Rhinolophus ferrumequinum: one gene and its partners. The protein of the gene in region 3 purifies or fractionates together with the protein of the main gene of each other region. This does not show direct contact. Links are inferred from orthologs where the notes say so. Each region holds a gene or a part of one and is shown on either strand. Other genes may lie near its edges. The genes, in order: TKT, PRDX2 and SOD1.

Region 1 (7,135 bases), on a different chromosome or scaffold from region 3:
CTTCATTTAAGATGGAGTCAGGAGGCTGGAAGAGAGAACTTTCAGGCACAGTACTGATCCCAACAGGAAGAGACATACCTTGCATCTCTGACAGGAAGTGATCCTACTCTACTACCGCAGGAGGAGGAAGAAAAGATTCCTTCTAGCCCAGTAATAGCTCAGCCAATGGGAGGCTGCTGTAACATTATCAAAAGAAGGATTTCCTGAAAAATGCCTCCTGAAGGAAATTTCGGGCATTGAGAGGAGAGATGGACTTATTAAAACTCAATTAATCAGCGGTAGCCAGTTAGCTCAGTTGTTTAGAGCATGGTGCTAATAACACCAAGGTTGCCGTTCGGTCCCCAGATTGGCCACTATGAGCAGTGCCCTCCTTAAAAAAAAAAGAAAAAAGAAAACTCAATTAATCAACCTACAAGTCCATATAGAGTGGTCACAAGTGGGCACAAGGCTGGAGGCACACTCGCACAGGAGTCTACAGACCTGTAAGCCCTGGATCTGAGTGAAGGAAAGTGCCCTGAGAACCCAGACTGGGATGTTGGCTCCAGTGCAAGCCCTGTGCTGGCTTGGGGCCCCCAGCACCTAGCCCAAGCATGCCCCAAGGGCACACATGTAGGCCGGCCCTGCCAAAGCAATGCCCAGCACTGTCAGTTAGGAACACAGCTGCTCAGGGCCCATTCATGACTCATGGGGGCTCTCCAGGGACGTGAAGGAGGAGCACAGCAGGATAGCTCTGCCCTGAGTTTCTTTCGGACAGCAAAGCAAGAGTAGGAGACCCCACCCACCAGCACCCACCTCCTGGGGGTTTACTCCCAACCCAAACACATCCAGGGCAGCAGCCTGGCTTATGAAACACAGGGGTAGCTTAACATAACCACCAGAAATCAAAAGAAAAAAATGCATTCATAAAAATGCACCCCATCCCCCAATCTCAGCAGTATTTTTTTCAAGATAGAATTTTGTTTTGATTTTTTTTGGATTATAAAAGCCAACACTGTTCACTGGCATTAAATTCCAACAAAAGAGAAATGTGTAAAATAGAAATTAAAAGTCCCCCTCAGTCCCACCATCTAAAGTCCCCCACAGCTTGGAGTGTGTCCCTGCAGCCTCTCTGCTTTGCCCATGCAAACTGATAAACACGCATATACTCTGGCAAACACACGTGCACACACCTGCTTTTATTTATTTTTGACAGAAACAGGATCACACTACCTGCTGTTTCCTGCCTTGCTTTTACTCCATCAACAGTGTATCACATCTTCCCGCCCCACACGGGGCTTTCAGGGCTTTACCTGCCGCTCCACACTCAGCCCTGTGGGACACGCAGCAAGTCATTGAACTCAGGTCCTAAGGGTCTCTCTCCCCAGTATTTTTCCCTGGAGAGTTCTCAGCACCCGCAACAGAATTGCCTGAGAAACGCAGAGTCCTAGGCTTCACCCCAAAAATTCTGATTCAGAAGGTTACGTGTGGTACCCAGGGATCTGTGTATTTAATAACTGCTCAGGCAGCTCTTGTGACCTAGTCAGCTAGGAGACTGTCATGTCTGGTCTTTGAGACCATTAAGGAATTACATTTCCCCACAGGCCCATCTAATTTCATCCCCAAGAGTAAGATCATTTCTGAGGAGGTTTGGTCATCACGCTGATCAGGTAAAATTACTGCTCAGGCCCCCACCAGGCCCTGTCCTCTGCCATCATAGACATTTGGCTGGTGGAACTTCCCACAGGACCATTTCCCAGGCACAGACTTCCCAGTCTAAGGGCATGAGCATTGTGGGGAACCTTCGCATCTGAGGGTCCGGTTGGGTGCCCAGGGCTGAGCAGCAGGAGGAACTGGACCTTGGCTGTGCCCTGTGCCTTAGGTGGGAGAATTTAAGGAAGATTACGTTAAATTGGGATAAAGCAAAGCCGGGATTGGATTACAGAATAGTTAAGATTATGTGCTCTCTTGAGGGTGGTTATCCCTTCGAGGGGTATTACTTCTGGCATTTCAAAGGTGTGTTAGCCTAGATGCATAAGAGCAATGGACAGGGCTTGTTCAAAAACCTTTCACTAAAGAAATTACAGGCATGGGGCGTGACTACCCACCATGATTTTCCCAGTTAGGAATCTAGGATTTATTGCAGCACCTCTTTTTCTTCCACTAGATCCAGGCGGTGTGAAGATTTCAAGAAGGGCATTACTGTCACAGGGAACAGCCTGTGCAAAAGCCTCTAGGCAAAGCAAGCTTAGTGTTTTTCAAGGAAAGCAAGAAGGCCAGTGTGGCTGGAATGGGGTTGTGGGAGTAGACGTAAGTAGAGAGAAATGGGAGAGAGGCGGAGGGCGGGGGGATAGAGCATGCTACCATGGAGGGGCCTGATATTCTAAGGGTGGAGGGAGATCAATGGGAGGTTAGCTGGGCAGGAACAGGGATTCTCTCTGGCAGCCATGGAGAGAGAGGCTCTCAGGGAGGCTGAAAGAGGATGGGGGAAGGGGAGCAGAGGAGCAAGATGGCAGTTTGAAGCCAGGCAGAAAGCCAGCAGGACCCGAGGTCTCCTTCCCAACTGACATGTGATTTATGAGGAGCATGTGGCTGAATAGACTCAGGACCTGGGGACAGGAGTAGTGCCTTGGACAAATAGAGTGTTGACAATACCTCCCGCCAGCCCAGGATTCTGGTTCTGAAGCTGACCTTGGTGAAGGCCAAGAGCTCCTGAAATGTAGCTAAAGCCCAGGATGAATTGGGTCTCATTCACCTGGAACCCCAAGATGAGAAGAAGCTAGAATCAGGGGTCTCTAGATGGAGGGGCATTTTCTTTCCATCACTATGGGGTCCCTAGAGCCAGTGAATCCCATGCCACCATCAGTGACCAGGTTGGGTATAGGGGATCAAGGATTAGTCCCATTGGGCAGGTGGGGAAATTAGGGTTTGTAATAGGAGGCCACTGCTCTAAAGGCCACAGAGTTGGAAGGCACAGAGCTTCCAAATGGTTTCAACGGTGTGTCCTTTTATCACACCTTGAGCAGCCTGAGGACAGAGCTGGCATACCCCAGGGTTACCTCACTCTATCCAGTCTGCAGTGCTGGCTAACTTCGGGCCAGCCTCAGGTGGGCAGGCTTCTGTGGGCTGGGCCAGCAGGAGCCAAGTGCTTGAGGGTCTGGCTGGTATGTGGGAGCCAGGCCAGCAGAGGAGCAGCCAAGGAACACTTGGGGGTGAGGTGGGTGACTCACTCACATCCAGTCCATTGTCCCACATGACCCAGAGCTCTGAATGTGGGCTCTGCAAAGGACACCAAGTGGACACAGGCAGCATCTGGCCCCTGGTGCCTTCCACAGTTCTCTCAGAGGCTCAGCATCAGACAGCTCTGGTGCAGGCCCCTGCTCAGCCACCAGCTCCAGAGGCCTGCCTTTATCTCTCCTTTTTAACATGGAGCTTCCGCCTGTGGAAGATATGGTAAGTGGCATTGACCTCATGGGGCATGTAGGGTGGGTGGATTCCAGTAGACAGTCACTTTGATGATGGTACCCCTAGTCTGGGGACTCCCATCCCTCTGGGGGACAAAGAAGTCTGTTAACAGCGGAGGTGGGCGCTCTCTTGGAGATGGGGCTTGAGGATGGGGCTGGTCTGCTAGGACAGAGCCCCACACCCACCAGCCCTGTGACCTTGTTGACCTTGCCAGTCTCAATGTGCTCATCTGTAAAATGGAATTCCAGTGAAGCCTCCCCTGTCAATTCCACCCAAGGACCTTGGCGGAGGAAGGAGACAGACCAGTCTGCAGTGAAGGTGCAAGTCAAAAGGCAAACTCTGAGCCAAGCCTAGAATCTGGAGTAATTATTTTTATTTGTGTGTTTGGTAATTACCGCGGGGCAGTGCCGCCTGACGCACAGTAGCTCGGCAGCCCGTAGCTGCCGGCAAATGTTGGGGGAGGGAAAAGAAAGGAAGGGGAGTTCGGGCAGGTGAACAGCATCCGGCTGGTTCCGGAGACGCCGGACTGAGCGGCGGCCTCAGTTTCCTGATCAGCGCGGAAGGACTGGAGAACCCGCCGCCCAGGGCAAGGGGGCGGGGCGGGGCGGGGCGGGGCGGGGCTGTCAGCGCGCGGCGGCCTCGGGTGATGCGGCCGCCCCGCCTCCAAGGGCGGGCCCAGGAGTCTTAACGCGCCCCCGCGCGGTACCGGGCTTCGGCCTCTGCCGGTTTTTGCACGAGCCACCTCCTTACTTCTGTGTCTCCGCGTCCTCCAGCCCCCTGCTCGCCCGGCCGCGCTATGGAGGGCTACCATAAGCCTGACCAGCAGAAGCTGCAAGCCCTGAAGGACACCGCCAACCGCCTGCGCATCAGTTCCATCCAGGCCACCACGGCGGCCGGCTCTGGGTGAGCGCCGACCTGGGAAGGGGGCGCCGGCCTCGGCGGAGCTCAGGCTGGGGTGGGGGAGCCGGTTCGGAGGCCGCGGTCGCCGCCAGCACGCCGGCTGCCTGTGGCGCAGCACGGTGCCACCACGAGAGGGGCGGCGAGGGACGGGTCAGGTGGCGGAGGCGCGCGCCTCGCTGGGCCCGGGCCCAAGCCGCCTTCCGCTGCGCCGCGCCGTCTCGGCCGGGCTTCCGCCCTGCTGGCCTCGGCGCCCTGTGCGCCTTAGGCCGTCTCTGCTCTCGTAGTACGATTTCGGCTGCGCTAAGGTGCGGAGGACGAGGCTCGCAAACCGTGCGGCCCCTCTGCGTCCCTGAGGGAAAGGCCACCAGTATTGCGCTCGTGCGGAGCCAGGCCCTGTACCGTGCGCCCTACGCGCGCGGCCCTCTGGACCCTGTCCACGCCCTGTGCGGGGAAACCGAGGCTCCGAGTTTAAGTCAGTTGCCCAAGGTCACTCACGGCGAGAGCTGGAATTTGAACCCAAACTGCCCAACTCGAAAGCGCCTGTTTTAACTCCTCATCTTGCCGGGAGACTCGGCCTGGCCCTCTCCCCACTTCACACTGCCCCGCCCTTTGGCCATCTCACATTCCTGCCACCCTTGGGTTGGAGTCCGAGTTTGCCGCCGGGGATTGCTGAGACTCCGAGCTAGGGAGTGGGGTCGGGGGGAGAGCGGAGGAAGGCAGCCACGTGGATGCAGAACCCTGGCGCCGGAGTGAAAGGGAGCTCTTAGATCTGACCTGGGGCAGGAGGTGGGGGGAGGGGTCAGAGAGCGGGTACTTGGAAGGCCGAGAGAACCGAGGACCGAGCCCCAGGGCTCGGGCAGTAGGAATGCGGTCCTGTGGGCAGGGCCAGCAGCCAGGTGCACTTTCCCCAGGTCAGAGGCTGGGGCACCCATCTCCCAGTGTTCTTTTGGGGCCAGCCCTTCTGGCCGAGAAGGTGCAGAAAGGCTGATGCTGATCCCCAGAGTCCTCCCTTGCAGACGGCTAGTGGCCGGGACAGTGATAATAACAGGGGCCACCATACAGCTGGAGGCCACCGGTGGGGGAGTTAAGGTCAGAGTCTGTCCTGCTCTGAAATGAGAGCAATGGCAGCTCCTACTCACTGGGCTGTTTCAAGGATGCAAGCCTCTCCCTTAGGGCCGGGCATGAGGCTGCACAAACAGGAATACTTTGGGTTCATGAAATGAATTTGGGGGCTGGGTGGGGGGTGATTTCCAAGAACCTTCCCAACCAAGCCGTGTGCTTAGAACAAAGACAAGATGCTAGCTTCTGGACAAGTATATACGGTCAGTATTACTAAGTGCATTCTTTTTTGTACCTCCAGGGTGGGTATGTTCTACCCCTTTGTGCCTGTAAGACATCCAGAGCTCAGAAGGGATTAGACCTCTGTTGGCAGGCCCTTTCCCTTCCACCCCACCCCCGTGCACACTTTGGACCTCTTATCTCTATTGGGTTTGTATCAGTCCTACTCATTGTGTGGGGGCCCCTGCCCTGGCAGGGACCCAGCTTACTTGCCGTGCTCCCTCCCCCAGCCTGGCACACAGTAGGTCTGCACACCCTGTAATGATTCTTGGGTACTACAGGTCCCCTTCTCTTGGCCATTTCTGGGGGTGACTCGCCCTGCAGGGCCTTGTTGAGCCCTACTGTGTGCTAGGAGCTGCTATCGAGCCAGGCTCTTGGGGGTCTAGCTAGAGGGACAGCAGTTACCCAACTAGATGGTGTTATCCCTCTGAGCATCTTGTAGGGCCAGGTGAGACCTGTGGACAGTTACAGGGTTACTGAGCCACACAGGTATCTCTGGTGTGACACAGCATCCTTTATTGCTAGTATTCTCCTGCATTCTGAGAAGAACCCTAGGAGATACGTACTATTTCATACACATTTTATCGATGAGAAAACTAAGGTTAGTGCATTCAGTGACTTGCCCCAGCTGGTCATTGGTGGTGGTTCCATGCTGCCCAGTGAGGGGCGTCTTGCGTTTTCAGAAAGACTTCCTGGGCAGATAAGAAAATGGAGAGAAATTGGAAATGGGGAGATCAGATGCAGTGATGGTAGGTGTCAGTCAGCTTGAAGGCACTTGGAGAGAAATGAAACGTGCAGCTGTTGGGAGATCCCAAAGGGAGGGTGTGTCCAGTGGGTCTCCTGGGTCTTTACTGCCTAGTTAAACTGATTCCTGTGGGGGAAAATACTGTCTGAGAATATAACAACTGAGGCTTTACACTGGGTTTACTTTGTGGTGTCTTACGGAGGAACTCACTGAACTCCAAGTGTCCATTTGCAAAAAGAAAAAGTGTAAAATGTAGTGATTTCTGCGTGTTTGTGAGTGTGTAAAAGATACAGGAAAGAAACACTTAGAGAAAATTTATTTTTCAGGAGGAAGTAACCCTGCTATGCAACCCCTGTCACAAGAGACTTCGAAAGATGTGTGCCAAGAGCTATATGTGTGCGCAAAACTAGTTTTGGAAGACTTGAGTTCAGGGCAGGGTTCCGGTCCCTGGATGTTTGTTTTGAGGCTCCCTGTTTCCTCACCACAGTGGGTGAGTTCCATCCAGTGAAGACTGAGTCCTGACTCCTTGGCCCAGTCTGGGCAGCAGTCACAGCCGAAGTGACCGTCTGTCAGGGTGCCCCCTTTCTGGGCGAGCTTACATCCCTGGTGGTGAAAACAGCACCTAGATCAAGTCTTTTCATTGTCATTCACCCACACCGGCTGGACTCACATTGTTCCATTGAGGACACAGGCTGTCGGGTTCAGAATTCG
Region 2 (7,679 bases), on a different chromosome or scaffold from region 3:
GTGGGATTTGTTCCCAGCAGGGGGCAAAAGTCACCCCCCCACACAACTGCTCTGAGGCCAAGGAGTGAGCATGAGGTAAGACTGTCACCTTGTGGTGAAGATAAGTAACTACAGTGTTAGTTTCCCAAGGCCAGAGCCTCGAGGAAAGGGGAAGGGGGGGAACATCAGAACAGAACACACCAACAGATTCATATTTGTCCCTAATACTTTATTGGTCACCTCTAGGCCTGTGCCTCACTAGGTAGGCTCTAGGGAGGGGTTCACCATTCACCACTCAGCTAGGAATACGTGACGGCCATGGCCTAGCCTTCCAGGATCATTGACTGGAACGTGAAGGGGCAGGTCTGGCCTTTCCAGGGCCAGCACAGGGCACCCAGGTGGGGGCACAGGTGGGGACCAAGAGCCCAAGCTTGGCATCCGTCTGCCAGCCTAGTTGTGTTTGGAGAAGTATTCCTTGCTGTCATATACGTTGGGTTTGATTGTGTCACTGCCTGGCTTCCAGCCAGCGGGACAGACTGTGGGAAGACACAAGAATGCACATGTGATGCTACAGCCCCATATTCAAGATAGGGCAGTAGTGAGAGGCAAAGCAAGAGCCCAAATTGCAGAAGAAAAAGCCCACAGCCAAGTGGTCCAGACCCAACACCACACCACATGTTGACAGAAGCCCCCAAGCCCAGGTGCAGGATTTTGGGGCTGATATTTTTATTTCTTTTTAGCCCCATCTTTCTCCCTCAGCCCTCGCCCTACTGGACTTTGAGAGACTGGTCAAGCTGTGCCCTCCATCTGAGAAGGTACTCTGATGCAACTAACATTATTCAAGCCTGCTGTGGCATAAACCTTCTCAAATATCTTCTCTATAAATCTTTATTACCTCCCAGCGCTCCATCCTTATAGTCGGGTTATCTCTCCCACCAGATGAGAAACTTCCTGCAGACAAGGCCCTAAGCTGAATCTTCTTTAGGGTCCTCACATCCATGTCACCCAGGTGATAGAGCAGGCAGTGAATGTCCGCATAAGCGACAGAAAGAGGGGCTGGGTATCTACTCACATATGAACCCCCGTGAATGTGTGCCCACTCACCTTCCCCATGTTCATCTGTGTACTGGAAGGCCTGGACCAGCCTCAGAGCTTCATCCACGGAGCGCCCCACAGGCAAATCATTAATGGTGATCTGGCGAAGGATACCCTTGCCATCGATGATAAAGAGGCCCCTAAAGATATCAGTGTTCACTGTGAGGAGCTGGGAGAACCATCTCTCTGCCAGCCACAGGGCTGGGGGTTGGGAGGGCACCGTCTAAGAGTGGTCCCCTCACCCTGAGGATGGGAGGTGTCCCCTGAGGACCCCATGGTACCTGTAGGCGATGCCTTCATCTTTCTTCAACACGCCATAATCGTGGGACAAGTTTCTGCTTACATCGGCCAGGAGGGGGATGTTCAGGGGGCCCAAGCCTCCCTCTTTCCGGGGGGTGTTAATCCTGGGGGTAGAGGAAACAGGGCTGGGACCTCAGACTGGGATGCCTGGCACCACAGGGTCCTTACCCTGTGGGCCTGGGTGTGATAAGAGCTGGAGAGGGGGTGCTGGAGACAAGAGATAAGGGGCTTTAGAGCAAGGCCCTGGGAGTCCCACCCACCCCACCCTGAAGTGGGTGCAGGGACTGTTTCCCACAGCTGGGAAGGCTAAGCCAATGCGCCTGTTCTAGCAAAGTGGATTCACACGTGCTACAGCCTCACGCATCTTGAAGCAGAGTCCCCATCCTCTTCTCTAGCTGTGTCCTGGGGCCCAGCCCTTGACTCCCTTGAACTGGAGTTGCCACCTTCTTGAACTAGTTCTTGGGAGGGAGGCTGCTTTGCTCAAAGTGAGATAAAAAGCATTTGCAACTCCGCACCAAGCAACTAGTTTCCAAATGCTAATTACTGTCATCATCGTTCAGGACCTGGGCGTCACTTTTCCTTTATTTTAAAGATGAGAAAGGGAGGCGCAGATGTTGAGCAATGGCCACTAGAACACACAGGTCCGACCCTATACAGGTGTAGGCTTGGCTGCACCCTCCCTCCCTGCTGGTCCCCGCTAATACCAAGCCAGGTGGGTGAACTGCGAGTCCACAGAGACCCCCAGCACCTCGCAGCCCAGCTTTCGGAAGTCCTCAGCATGTTCGCTGAAAGCGATGATCTCCGTAGGGCACACAAAAGTGAAGTCCAACGGGTAGAAAAAGAGGACCACGTATTTCCCTGAGGAAGAGGGCAGGAATAGACGAGGAGTGAAGGCCCATCGCCTCGAGTGCCAGGGCGCCACCCCAGTCTGGGCCCCCTCCAGGTCGCCCTCACCTCTGTAGTCGGAAAGCTTCACCTCCTTGAAGGCGCCCTCCACTACGGCGGTGGCCTGGAAGTCCGGGGCGGGCTTTCCGATGTGCGCGTTACCGGCGGCCATGACTGAAAGCTGAGACCCCCACCCCCGGCGCGGTCAGAGCGCCCGGGAAGACCCTTTGTCTCACTTCCCAAGGTCATGTTTCGAGCTGGGCCCGATGACTGAGTCAGATTGGCGGAGGCAGCGGCACTGCCCCGCACCCTCCCTGGTACCCGCTCTGAGCGGCCTTGAGACCACGGGAGACCCGCCCCTCCGGCCAGCGAGAGACACCAGGCCGCAGCCGCTGGGCCCCCATTAGCTTGTCGCCGAGCGCGGTGGCGCTGGCCCACCGCCCCGGGAGGAGCCCCAGCGAGCTGGGAGCCGGGATCCTGGCCATGCGGCCTGCACTCCAAGGCTCTGGCCTCGGTTTCCCCCACCAAGGACAAAGGCGGCCACCACGGCGGGTGGAAAACAAAGGCGGCCAGCGCTGAAGTTTGAAGAGGGCCGAAGCGGCTCCAAGGGGTTCCCCCCAGCCGGGTGCGTTCCAGGTGTCCCTACCTGCGTGGGGAAGGGCGGGACACAAAGAGCAGCGGACCCGTAGACAGCTTCTCAGCACCAAGTGCGCGCAGAGCCGCGGAGCCTTTTATGCGTGGCCGGAACCATGACGCGCAGGGCGGGGGGGGGGGTAGTAGACAAGCAGAGCGGTCGGATCCACTGCCACTGCAGGGGTGGAGGAGAGGAGCCGGCCGGGCCCACGCGCCTGCCGACCGCTGGGGGAGAGGCTCAGCCGCGGGTGGGACCACTGCGCCCGCCCACGGGGACCCCGCGCCGGGCTCAGCCCTGGAGCGCGCCGGGGGACAGTTGGAGTTCCGCATGGCCCGAAGCCCAGAGGCGCTGCTACTGCCGCCTCTGATTCTCCTGCTGCTGGTGACTCCTGCCCAAGTCTCCCCCGATTACCATTACTTCGGTGAAGAGGGCAAAGGCGACACCTGGGAGCAACTGCAGCTGCAGCATCAGGGGAAAGGTAACTGCAGTTCGCGGGTGTGACAGCGCGGAAGGGTGCCCAATCGCTCTATTTTGCCAGCTGGCTACAAACAGACCCTCTTCCGTGGACTTCAAATCTCCGCCCACCTTCGCTCTGGGCTGGTCACTTTTCTCTGAGGCTCAGTTTTCTCATCTGTAAAGTGAAATAGAGACTGCCTTTAAGCAGCTTACATGGTTTTTCCATCTCCGCCCTTCCTACCACCTACCCATGAGTTTATGGATGTGTCTGCTTGGGTCCTGCTCACGTTCTCTCTCCATGTAAACTGCTTAAAGAAGGGGGCAGGTCAGTTTCTGAAGTCAGAGAAGGCCCGGCTGAAGAAGATAGGTAACCAACAGCTGGCTTGACAAGAAAAGCCAAAAATGCAAAGATACAGGGGGAAGAGTGCGCCAGGGAGTTTTGTGTGACGGAGGCTTGATGAGTTGGGACCTGTCTCATAGGGGTTTAGGGAGAAGTCGGGAAAAGAACCCTGTAAAGGGGCGTGGTTAAGCGCTCAATAAGTTGTAGCTGCTTTTAAAAGTGATCACACTCTCTTTTGTTCTACTACTAACACAGCGTCAGGGGCTTTAAGTATCTTTATTGTGCCAATTATGTCATTTAATTTACCACTTGACAGAACTGCTAGTCAGGTGGCACTGTGGCCACTGGACAGGCTCGTGATCTCGGAAGACAAGAGTCAGCTTCGGATAGTGGGCACCAAGGGTGTTGTACCACAGCCCCAACTTGGTAGGCTGTCATAGATGGGACGTGTCAGTTTGCAGTTCCTCTGGGCCACTCACCAGATGCGTGAGCTCGGAATGGTGCCTTGCTCTTTCTAGGTCTCAGTTTCACAACCTGGGACTAATGAGCAGATTCAGTTAGATCATCTATGGCAGGGTGCCTGGCGCAGAGGCATAGCCCTGCAAACATGAGCTGTTGCTGTTACGGTAGTGTCTTTATCCTCCTCCCCTCTTAGAGGAGAGCTTGGCGGGTAGGTTCCCCACCACCACCTGGCCCTCCATCCCTAGACGTGGAGGACTCACTCCTTGGCCCGTGGGGAAAGTGGCTCTGTCTTTGCGACCTGGGCAAGCAGGAGCGCAGCCGAGAGGTGCTGGGCACGGCGCCGGGCCCGGTGTTCATGGACCGCGAGAACCTGGTGCAAGTGCGGCCCTGCGGGCAACGGGATTGTTCCTCCTGCAAGCCCATCGACTGCGACTGGAGGCCCTGAGCCCGGGTGACAGACGGGCGCAGAGGAGGCTGGACCGGTGCGGGCTGGCAAGTCCTCTGGGTGGGCGGGAAGATAGAAAGGGCTGTGTGAGTGGTGGGGGGGCGCGTAGGAGGCGGGCACCTGGAAGGAAGAACTGGCGTCCTAAGCCTGGGGCTTGAGGGTGGTGTGGGGAGAAGAGAGCTGAGCCCGGAGATGTGAGCACCGCTGACATCCGAGGACAAAGGAAGAAAGATGGCGGGGTACGGGGAGGGGGAAACGGAGATGGAGGAGCTGTGACCCTGTGGAAGGGTCATGAGCTTGGTGAAGGCCAGGGACCCACAGGCAGAGGACGAGAGCCCCGCTGAGACCAGGGAATAAGATGCGGGGAGAGAAAGAGAAGGGCGGGGTGGGGGGTGGGGATAGGACATGAACCCAGAGATGGGGAGAATAAGTCTGCGTAGTGGACAAAGACTGAGCAAGGAGTCTGTTGAGGTCTTGAGATCTCAGACCTCGGTTGGAAGGAAGGGGAGGCTTAGCCGGAATGAAAGAGAGGATAGGAAGAGGCGGGGCAGTGGAGATGCGGTTGAGGTACTGAGAGGGAGTTGGGGGGACCCCATCTCCGAAGGCTTGAGCGTAGTGGGATCAGAGATACCTAGTCCAGGGTGCTTAGACTATGTGGAGTGTAAGGATCGCGGGTGCAAATGGCCTCTAGAGCCCAGGTAGGGGACGGGGACCCAGTGATGCGAACCCTCGAATTCTGGGAGTGTAGTGGTATTTCACCTTCTAGACCCTGACTGGGCGGGTCCTCAATGGCCCGCCTCAGTTCCTCGTTTATTTTCCTCTCCTGTCACCAGCTCCAGAAACCCCGGAGCGGAGCTTCGAAAGCGACCCCGCCCACCCGTTACCCAAACTTTGAGCTAGGCAGTGGGCCTCGAGAACTACAATTCCCAGAAAGCGGCACGGCAACGGCGTCGGCTTCGTAAACGTCAACGGCGGCGGGAGCGTCGGGGGCGTGTCCTGTGCTCCGATTGGCCGGGAGCGGAGCCACCGAGGAGCTCCCGAAAAACGCGCGCCTAAGCTGCGCCTTCAGACCTCGTTTCTGTGGCTGGTGGCGGCGACCAAAGTGGCATGGATCTCAGCGAGCTGGAGAGAGACAATACGGGCCGCTGTCGCCTGAACTCGCCTGTGCCCGCGGTGTGCCGCAAGGCACCCTGCGCCCTGGGCGTCGATGAAGCGGGCCGGGGCCCTGTGCTGGGTGCGCCTCCAGGGCCGGGGTGGGGGAAGCACATGATAAGGGGGATGCAAATTGCCCAGGAATGGGAGCCGGGATTGTACCGGATTTGGGGTGGGGGGTGGTGATAGTGGTGATGGCACCGGAAAAAGCGGTGATGATGAAACAGGGAAGGCGGCTTTCACGGGCTCACTGGTTGGATCCCCACTTCCCCCAGGCCCCATGGTCTACGCCATCTGTTATTGCCCTCTGTCGCGCCTGACAGATCTGGAGGCCCTGAAAGTAGCAGGTGAGCCTGATGTGTACATCTGAGAAGGGGGTTCCTGGAAATGTGCAGGGGGCGGGTGCAAACTGGAGAGAGAGAGCAGGAGTTGGGAGAACCAGCCACTCCTTCTCTCCCAACCCATCTCCCAGACTCAAAGACTCTGTCGGAGAGCGAGCGGGACAGGCTCTTTGCGAAAATGGAGGAGGACGGGGACTTTGTGGGCTGGGCACTGGACGTGCTTTCTCCGAACCTCATCTCTACCAGCATGCTTGGGCGGTGAGGGATCCCCGGAGGGGCCGTGGTGGAGGGGCAGCCAGCATGGGCTGGCAGGGATCCGTGGCTGGAACGGGGTTGACTGGGCTCTGTCTCCCACTGCAGGGTCAAATACAACCTGAACTCCATGTCCCACGATACAGCTGCTGGGCTGGTGCAGTATGCGTTGGACCAGGGTGTGAAAGTCGCTCAGGTGAGCTAACTGTTGGGTAGCCCCCATTTAATCACCTCGGGATAAAATGGAGGTATGAGTGCAGTGGGCGATTCACTGTCAGACATATCTGTAGTACCTCAGGAATATTTGTTGCTCCTGTTGACTTCCTACTGCTTTTCCTACCCCAAAAGTATGCCCCACTAAGGACCATAGTGGGGCCCCAGCCCCACCCCCATCCCCACCTATCTCTGTATCCTAAAGGCTTAGTGTCCAGAACAAATCACACATCTGTCTACCTGCCCTAGCCCAGGGCACCCTCCCCTCCTGGACACCTGCCTCATGCTCTTCTCTGGTCCCCCCACCTCCAGCCCCCTCCCCTACCGTCTGCTCCCAACACAGTAGCAGCAGATAGTCATCTTTTTGAAATGTAAATGTCAACATTTAATTTTCTGATCACAGTGAGAATTAAATAAGGAAAACTCACACTCAAAGGGAGGAGAATGAGATTAAATTACAGTAGAGAAATATAAGATGGCATGGCATGGAGTGTTCTGAGGCAAAGAACGAGCTGTTTTGAGAGAATGACAAAGACAAATACACTTGAAAAAGGGAATGGAACAAGGGAGGTCTTGCTGAGGAGGTGGCTGAGGTCCAGGACTGGGTGTGGAGCTGGCAGCGCAGTGCTAGAGGGCTGGCAAGGGCGCTGGCCTCACGGGTTCGTGGCCATGTCAGGGGACACAGATGGTGAGCTGGTAAGCAAATAAAGCTGATTTCTAAGAACAGTAACTGCTATGGAGATCACTTTCCCTGCTACCTTCCCTGACCTAGCCATGGGGCCTCCCTACTGCTGTGTAGCATACTGGAAATGGTCCCAGCTCAGGGCCTTTGCACTGGCTGTTTCCTCTGCCTAGAATGCTTTTCCAGACCTCCAAATGACTGGGTCCTTCATCTCTTGCAGTCCTTTATTCAAATGTCACCACCTCAGAATGACCTTTCCTGAACCTTCCCAACCCCCACCCTCGTTTAAAATGATAACGTTTTCTGATTCTCCCCTATCCTTTATTATTTACCCTGTTTCTTGTCTGTGGCCCTCGCCAGGGTGTTCCACTCCAGGAGAACACGGATTTTTGTCTGATGTGTTCACTGCCATGTTCCTGGCATCTAGTGTATCCCATGACATG
Region 3 (7,103 bases):
GAGAGAGAGAGAGAGAGAGAGAGAGAGAGAGAGAGAGAGACACACACACACACACACACCGGGAAATGGGAAATGTCCAACTGCCTACCCTTGGATCCCTATGGGTATGTGTGTGTGTGTAACGGTATACAAGTTCATATATATTTCAGTGTACATTATAATTCCAGCATTGGTATTTTTGATACATAGCCAGAAAATGTTCTATCCCACTGCTCCTGGCATAGAATAATCAAATCTAATCTAACCAGACATACTTTTTCTGAAGTCTTTTTAGGGATTGAAACCTCAATAACCTTTGTGCTCTAACTACTGAGACTAAAAAGAAAGGACAACACGAAAGCAGGTAAAAGTAACAGAAGTATCGCCATACGGGCAATGGTGATGGTAATGGTGTTTGTTGCAAGGCTACACACATAAGTCGAGGCAATTACTGTTACAGGCACAGGGGGATCTTAGGAACTAAAAATACACACAAGCATCCACACCACACAGCAACACACACAATGCTGTCTGTACTTTTAAACAGTCAGGGCCCACAGTTGCAAGAGGTGTTAGCCTTGAAGACTGACTTTCCATTGTAAATAGCACTGCAAAATCAAGTAGTGTGGCAACTCCTGCCTTTTTTTGCTTTTCTTTTTGAAAACAGATATACTATGATTCTTCTGAGTACAACCGTTAATTTTGGAAAAACTCAAATGTGAATGTTATCCTCCAAAACAGGCTGTTATCCAAAGCACAGAGACAAACAGGGCAGGTTGTTCCACACCTCCATTTAATGGTAATGCATAGAGCACATGTTAGTTCAACAGTAAGCTTCCTGGGAACATGTAAAACAGGTCAGGGAAGCAAAGCAGACATAACCTGGTCCAGCATAGTGCTGTCCTGGGCTAATGAAGGCTTGGTATGTGCAGGTCTCCAAAATCACCAAGAGAAACTAGGAATTTGGACTTACAGGTGAAATTTTCTAATTTAAAAAAACTGGAAAATAATCCAAATTTTTAAACACTCAATAGGCCAAACAAATACAGTTCATTGCCAATTTAATACATCTGCATATCTGTAGAGCTGTAATGCTTAACTATCCAAGGGTCTTTATCCGGTACAATTAGCACTACCAAAGTGAAGTTTGGAACTTAAGAGGGAGACATGTAAGCTGCTCAGGGAATATGGAAAAACTCCGGGAACCGCAGTTCTGTATGGATGCACAGCTTGGTTTCTGAATGTAACACCAGGAGCCATTTCTCAGTGGCCAGAGGAAGAGACCTCAGAGGCTTCTTAGACTCTCTAGTATCGGTGAATTATGTGGGGAGGAGAGAGGGACAAAACAAAATCTGGCAAACAAAAACAATAAAACTTAATAAAACGCAAAGGGCCTTTTCCAGAAAATTTGGAAGCCACTTAAAGGAAAAAATGAAGCTCAAATGTAAGTTCTCCTTTGTGTAAACTTCATAGATGGACCACTTATCTAGATTACGTTTCCTGTCCTCACCTTTCTGTAAACCACTTTAGAGACTAAATCTCACTCATACATTAAATAATCTCTCCGAATAATAAACCAAGTACAACATAAACAATTTCCACCAGTTGGTACCCTTACTAAGATTTGGGGGACAGTCTTATCACAAGCAACTTCCTTACAACACGTGTGCAATATCACTAATGAGTATTTCTGTATACTTTACAAGACCTGTTCCAAAGTTTGTTTTCTACCATCTCAGTAACAGGCCTATTGATAAGAGCAATTTCAAAGTCACTTCCCAGAGAATTTGGTTAAACAAATGCTCCACGAGTTAAGTGACAAATTCCATGCAACAGAAACACTCCGGTCTAACTTCCAACTCCCAACCCCATCCACCAACAGTTAATTCTCCATCTTGGATGCACATTAGAACTTTGGAAACTTTAAAATTGCAACGCTCAGATTGCAACCTGACAGATTCTGATATAATTGGTCTGGAGTTGGGCCCTGGTATCTGTATTTTTTAAAAGCTCCCCAAATGAGCCTACTTTGCACCCACGGTTAAAAATCGCTGCTCTGGAAACTTCCCCCGACAAGGGAGTTGGTTAGATCTCTCTGGCTTTTGGAGCTTTATCTAGGGCCATCTTCTTTGCCCTTGGAGCCTGGCCGTGACCCAGAGTAAGCGTCAGCAAACTTTTCTGCAAAGGGTCACAAACGGATTCTGTTGCATAGTCTTGGTTTTCACGACCCTTTAAACATAAACATATTCAAAACAAACACCTAAGAAACACTTAGCTCCAGGGCTGGACAAACTCCGGTCCTGAAAGGATGAGGCCCGTGCGCCATAGTTTGCAAACCCACGAACGAGAGAGCTCAAGTCGGATATGAAGCCCTAAAGGGGTAACGGATGCGAAAACAGCGGCCCGGCGCAACCGCCACCCTATCTCACGGGCGGGCCGAGTATTGGACTGCGCAACTGTGAAGAGCAGGATCCTCAAGACCCAGAAAATGACCCCGCAAAAACGGGCCAAAGCCTTTTCAAAAGCGTCAAGTTCTCCGCTCTGGCCTACAGACGCCGCGGCGGTAGCCGAGGCCCTGAGGGCGGCTAATCTTCCTCCCTCGCTTTCTCTCCTCCCTCCCGGGCCCACGGTTGTTGGCACCCCAGGGGCGGCCCGCCCTGCACCCCGCCCTGCACCCAGGCCCGCGGCAGCCTCGCCACGCACGGCGCTGCTGCCGGGCTCACCCCGTGACTCAGCGCTCCGCGGCCGCGAGCGAGTAGCTGCGCGGAGGCGCAGCACAGCCGCAGGGCAAAGGCCCCGTGCTGCGCGGACTAGCGGGCCGGGCGCGGCGGGGGCGTGGCGAGGGCGGCCCGAGGCCCGGCCTGCCACCCGCTCCCGAGCACAGGTGCGCGGCACGCTCTCGCCGTCGGCCTCTGCCCCGGCCCTTGCCTTCTCCTCGAAGTGGATGGTGCCCTGCACCGGGCCGTCGCCCTTCAGCACGCACACAGCCTTGGTCGCCATGACTCGCGGGTGACGCTCTCGCCTGCGATCCAACGGCAACCGCAGACTCTGCAGGAAACGCCGACGCAGAGACCTGCGCTGCGGAATTTTTATAGACCTCCGCGCCCCGCCCTCCCCCCGGCCCAGAACCAATCGCCGCCCGCGTGCACTGTCCTCCCCAACGGAGGGCCTATGGGGGGCGGGGCCAAAGCAAAGGGTTGCGTTCGGAACTTAGTCCTTCGCTCCTCAGGCTCCCTCCTTCCTGTGGCTGTAAAACGCCCAGAAACCTGGAGCTGTGGAAAAAAACAACCTTTTTCTTCCAAAGATTGTAATCGTGGATTGCTGTACGCGACCCTGGGAAAATGAGGTATACGTGGCACGCCTTGGAGATCTGAAGTCACTTTGTCTGGAAACGTCTGGAAATTAGTAATAACTGACTTTGGTCATAACGTTTTCTGATTTGTTATTCAGAAATGGGGACGCATGGAGCTGGGTGATTTTGTAGTTTTTATTGTTTTAATTGTCTTGGTGTGGGGGTCTCTGAGGGTGTGTAAAAGCAAAACGTCTCAATCCCTGGCCTCACATTTTCTTCCTTGCAGTTTCCTTGGTTCTCAGCACATAGAGTTACTTATTTGGTTACCATAACTCCGTATTCTTTTCAAATTTTTCCTGTTTGACAAGGAAGGCCACAGGTAAAAACATCAAAATGTCAGCTGACTTACTTCTACACATCTCTCTTTTTGTCTAACTCTACTGCCGCAACAGTCAAGGAGAAAGGTAGGATGGGTAAATAATTTATGATACCTCTGAGGAATAGAGCGAAGAAATAAAATGCAGTCACTGTAGTGAAGCTGCTAAGTTACTAACATCAAGTAGGTTGAGGCATGAGGACTTGATTCTGTTGTTCTTTTAACTAGTAGCCTGGGAATTTAAACTGCTAACTTTCCAGTCCTGCTCAATGCGTGGGTAAGTATATCAGACCTCCAGATAACCCTCTGGTTACCCCCTGAAGGACTAAGGAGACAATGTTCACATATCCAGACCACTTGGCATCCAGTATCCAGACTAGCAGTCATATATAGGATTATCATCTTGGACCAATCCAGAGGCTGAGAATGCAGGACTGATTCTTCTCAAGAATGTACTTTTTACTATAAGAACCCTCAGCGTTTCTTTCTTCTCCAGAACACTCTGGGTGCTGCCTTTCCTGTTTTCCCGAAAATAAGACCTAGCCGGACCATCAGCTCTAATGTGTCTTTTAGAGCAAAAATTAATGTAAGACCCGGTCTTTATATTATATTATATTATATTATATTATATTATATTATTATATTATATTATAGACCTGGTCTTATACTACATTATATAAGCCCTGGTCTTATATTATATTAAAATAAGACCAGGTCTTATATTAATTTTTGCTCCAAAAAGACGCATTACAGCTGATGGTCCAGCTAGATCTTATTTTCAGGGAAACATAGTAGTTGTGTTTTCTGTTTGCAAGCCATAGGACCCTTGAAAAAGTCTTTAGCATTGATTTCTAGCCAAAGCCTGATTTCATTTACTCTGGTTGACACCTCCATACACCAGAACATTACTTCTTTCAGAAAGATATTCCAAAAACATATTAAGAAATGAGCGAACTACTTTATGGGTTTTTTTTTTTTTAAGTATAAATATACATTTACTTGTGTGCTTAGAAATCTCTAGAAAGATATGCAGAATACTATGGATACCTTTGGGGAATTGTGAATCAAACTTTTACTAATGTTCTCCCCTTAGAATTTTTTTACAGAGAACTATGCATTTGTCTGCAACAATATGGTTTACAATGAGAATACACACACACACACATACACACACACACACACACTTTTGTTGGAAGAATAGTTTGATAAACCTTGAAGGGAGAGGGAGCATGAAAGGGGAGAAGAATCTTCATCTGCTGTGCCCACAGGGTGTGCCTAAATAACAAAGGTGGCTGAACTGTTTCTGGAAGTGCATTAGACACTGCACAATTTAATCTGGAAAATGCATTAGACACTCTTAGAGGGCTTGTTAAGCCTCAGGTTGCCATGTTTCTTACTCAGTAGGTTTGGGGTGGGAACCCAGAATTTACATTCCTAACTTGTTTCCAGGTCTGGGATCTCACTTTGAGAATCTCTGACTTGCAGGTGTTTTTCATGCCCAGTGAAATAAGCAAGTTGGGGACAAGAGCTGGAGCTACTTGACTCAAAAGAGGAAAAGGGGAAAGTGTCCTAAAAAGAAATGTGGAGACCAGCAGACATGGACCAGGGACAGACTTTAGGAAGAAGAGTTCTCTCTGCTGGGGATTTGTTCCACTTGCTTTGTGGAATTGAAACCTTCCCCATCTCCCTGAGAACTCAACACAATCCACATTTCCCTCTAATGCTCAGTGGAGAGGACTGAGCTGTGCGGATGGCGAAATACTGAGGCTAATCCAAGGCCAGAGTGAAAAAAGGACAAAGGGCTGCTGTTCAGGCTACACTTTCTTTTTCTTCTTTTCTTTTTCTTTCTTTCTTCCTTTCTCTTCTTCCTTCCTTCTTTCCTTCTTCTCCTTCCCTTGGAATCTAAGGCACCCTCTGTCAGAGATATACAATCCACGTTTTTTATCACCCTCTTGAAAATGTACCTATTTGTGATTTTGCTTAGTGTTGTACTCACTAGTATTTTCCAGAGAACGGACACATGCTAGATTGTTGCATCAATATGCAATGCCAGCCAAAGGGCCTTTGCCCAAGGCCAAAGTTTCTTTAGATTTCAGGAAGGTAGAATCAGATTTCAGTTCATGATGAATTCTTGCCCAGAGGCAGCCCACATGCAAAGAGCTGCCCTGGGCCAGGAAGTTGCTCCTCTTTAAGGATATTCAGGTGAGACCCAGGCAGCCCCCTTGTTTGGGTGCAAGGAGGGGCTTGTGTCATGCAGGATTAGAGGACCCCTGAGGTTCATTCCTAGTGATGCCCTCACACCTGGGCAAGGGGGTCCCTGGCCCTGGGCCTCACCATTTAGAGAGCCCTGTTCTGTCCCTCCTCAGGTCACATTCCCAAAGGGGGAAAGAATCTGTGGAGCCAAAAACTTTACCCATCCTTCTAGAGCAAGGTTAATGAATTGTGAACAAAAAGGGGGCACATGCTAAACCTGACAAGCTGGGTGGGTGGGTGGCGTGCACGGTAGGCCTTACAAACTCAAACACAGGATGGTCTGAACATAAAAATTCCTAACTAGAGCGGGTTGTGGTGGGTAGTCACATCTTAGGATGGCAGCTCCCTTGACAAAGGTCAATCTTTACGGAAAGGGAGCCTGTCTTTGTGCACCTAGCATAATATGCCTTTGAAATGTCAGAGTAATTTTCTTTTCCAGACCCCTCAGATGCACAACTGTCGCCACCAGAGCATGAGATCATAGAACCCCTCATTGTTATCTTGTTTCCCAAAACCGTCTGTCTCTATGTGCTTTAATGTTAATTATTGATATCCTGTGCCCACCATGTAGAAGAAGCATGTTTCTGCATTTTGCTTTTTATCCAACCCCAGAGATTTCCCCGCGTTTCTCCTACCTGCTTATTCTACTACCGATGGATTTTTTGTAACCCTCCGTACATCTTCTCTTTTGATTTTAATGTCTAAAATAAGCTGTCAAACTGCCCTTCTCTGGAGCATTTTCTCAATCCATTGAGATATTGCTTCCGGGCATGTCCTCAAAATTTGGCTCAAATTAAACTCTTACAAGACTTTTTCTATAGGCTGAATGTTCTTTTGTCGACAGAATTTATTCTTTTTTTTGTTTGTTTTTTACGTACCCCCATCCTACCCCCCACTTCCCACCCAACACCTCTGACAACCACCAATTTGTTCTCTGTAACTATAAATTCTCTCTCTCTTTTTTTCCAGATTCCACATGTAAGTGATATCATACGTGTATGTCTTTGTCGTACTTATTTCCCTTAACGTAATGCCCTCAGGGTCCATCCATGTTGTCACAACAGGTAAGATTTCCTTTTTTTTTTTTTCTTATGGCTGAATAATATTCGTGTGTGAGAGAGAGAGAGAGACAGAGAGACAGACAGAGAGAGACAGAGAGAGACAGAGAGAGACAGAGAGAGAGACAGAGATATTCCCAGGCTC

What was found.
Region 1: the proteins of SOD1 (region 3) and TKT purify together in Homo sapiens (affinity purification with mass spectrometry; 3 studies listed by BioGRID, with this or other methods). This does not show direct contact. The link is inferred for Rhinolophus ferrumequinum from reciprocal best matches to the Homo sapiens genes SOD1 and TKT.
Region 2: the proteins of SOD1 (region 3) and PRDX2 fractionate together in Homo sapiens (co-fractionation; 3 studies listed by BioGRID, with this or other methods). This does not show direct contact. The link is inferred for Rhinolophus ferrumequinum from reciprocal best matches to the Homo sapiens genes SOD1 and PRDX2.

What each region holds. Positions count from the first base shown.
Region 1 is NC_046300.1:48,695,786-48,702,920, reverse strand, and holds the start of TKT (transketolase), read left to right. Parts: upstream 1-4,115; 5' UTR 4,116-4,237; coding exon 4,238-4,344; intron 4,345-7,135. UniProt on the Homo sapiens protein: Catalyzes the transfer of a two-carbon ketol group from a ketose donor to an aldose acceptor, via a covalent intermediate with the cofactor thiamine pyrophosphate.
Region 2 is NC_046301.1:48,770,396-48,778,074, reverse strand, and holds PRDX2 (peroxiredoxin-2), read right to left. Parts: upstream 3,035-7,679; 5' UTR 2,906-3,034; intron 2,441-2,905; 5' UTR 2,432-2,440; coding exon 2,329-2,431; intron 2,233-2,328; coding exon 2,079-2,232; intron 1,479-2,078; coding exon 1,356-1,478; intron 1,215-1,355; coding exon 1,084-1,214; intron 516-1,083; coding exon 430-515; 3' UTR 188-429; downstream 1-187. Other genes in the region: RNASEH2A (ribonuclease H2 subunit A), read left to right, coding at 5,704-5,830, 6,024-6,095, 6,221-6,347, 6,450-6,537.
Region 3 is NC_046285.1:98,047,382-98,054,484, reverse strand, and holds the start of SOD1 (superoxide dismutase [Cu-Zn]), read right to left. Parts: upstream 3,061-7,103; 5' UTR 2,980-3,060; coding exon 2,908-2,979; intron 1-2,907. UniProt on the Homo sapiens protein: Destroys radicals which are normally produced within the cells and which are toxic to biological systems.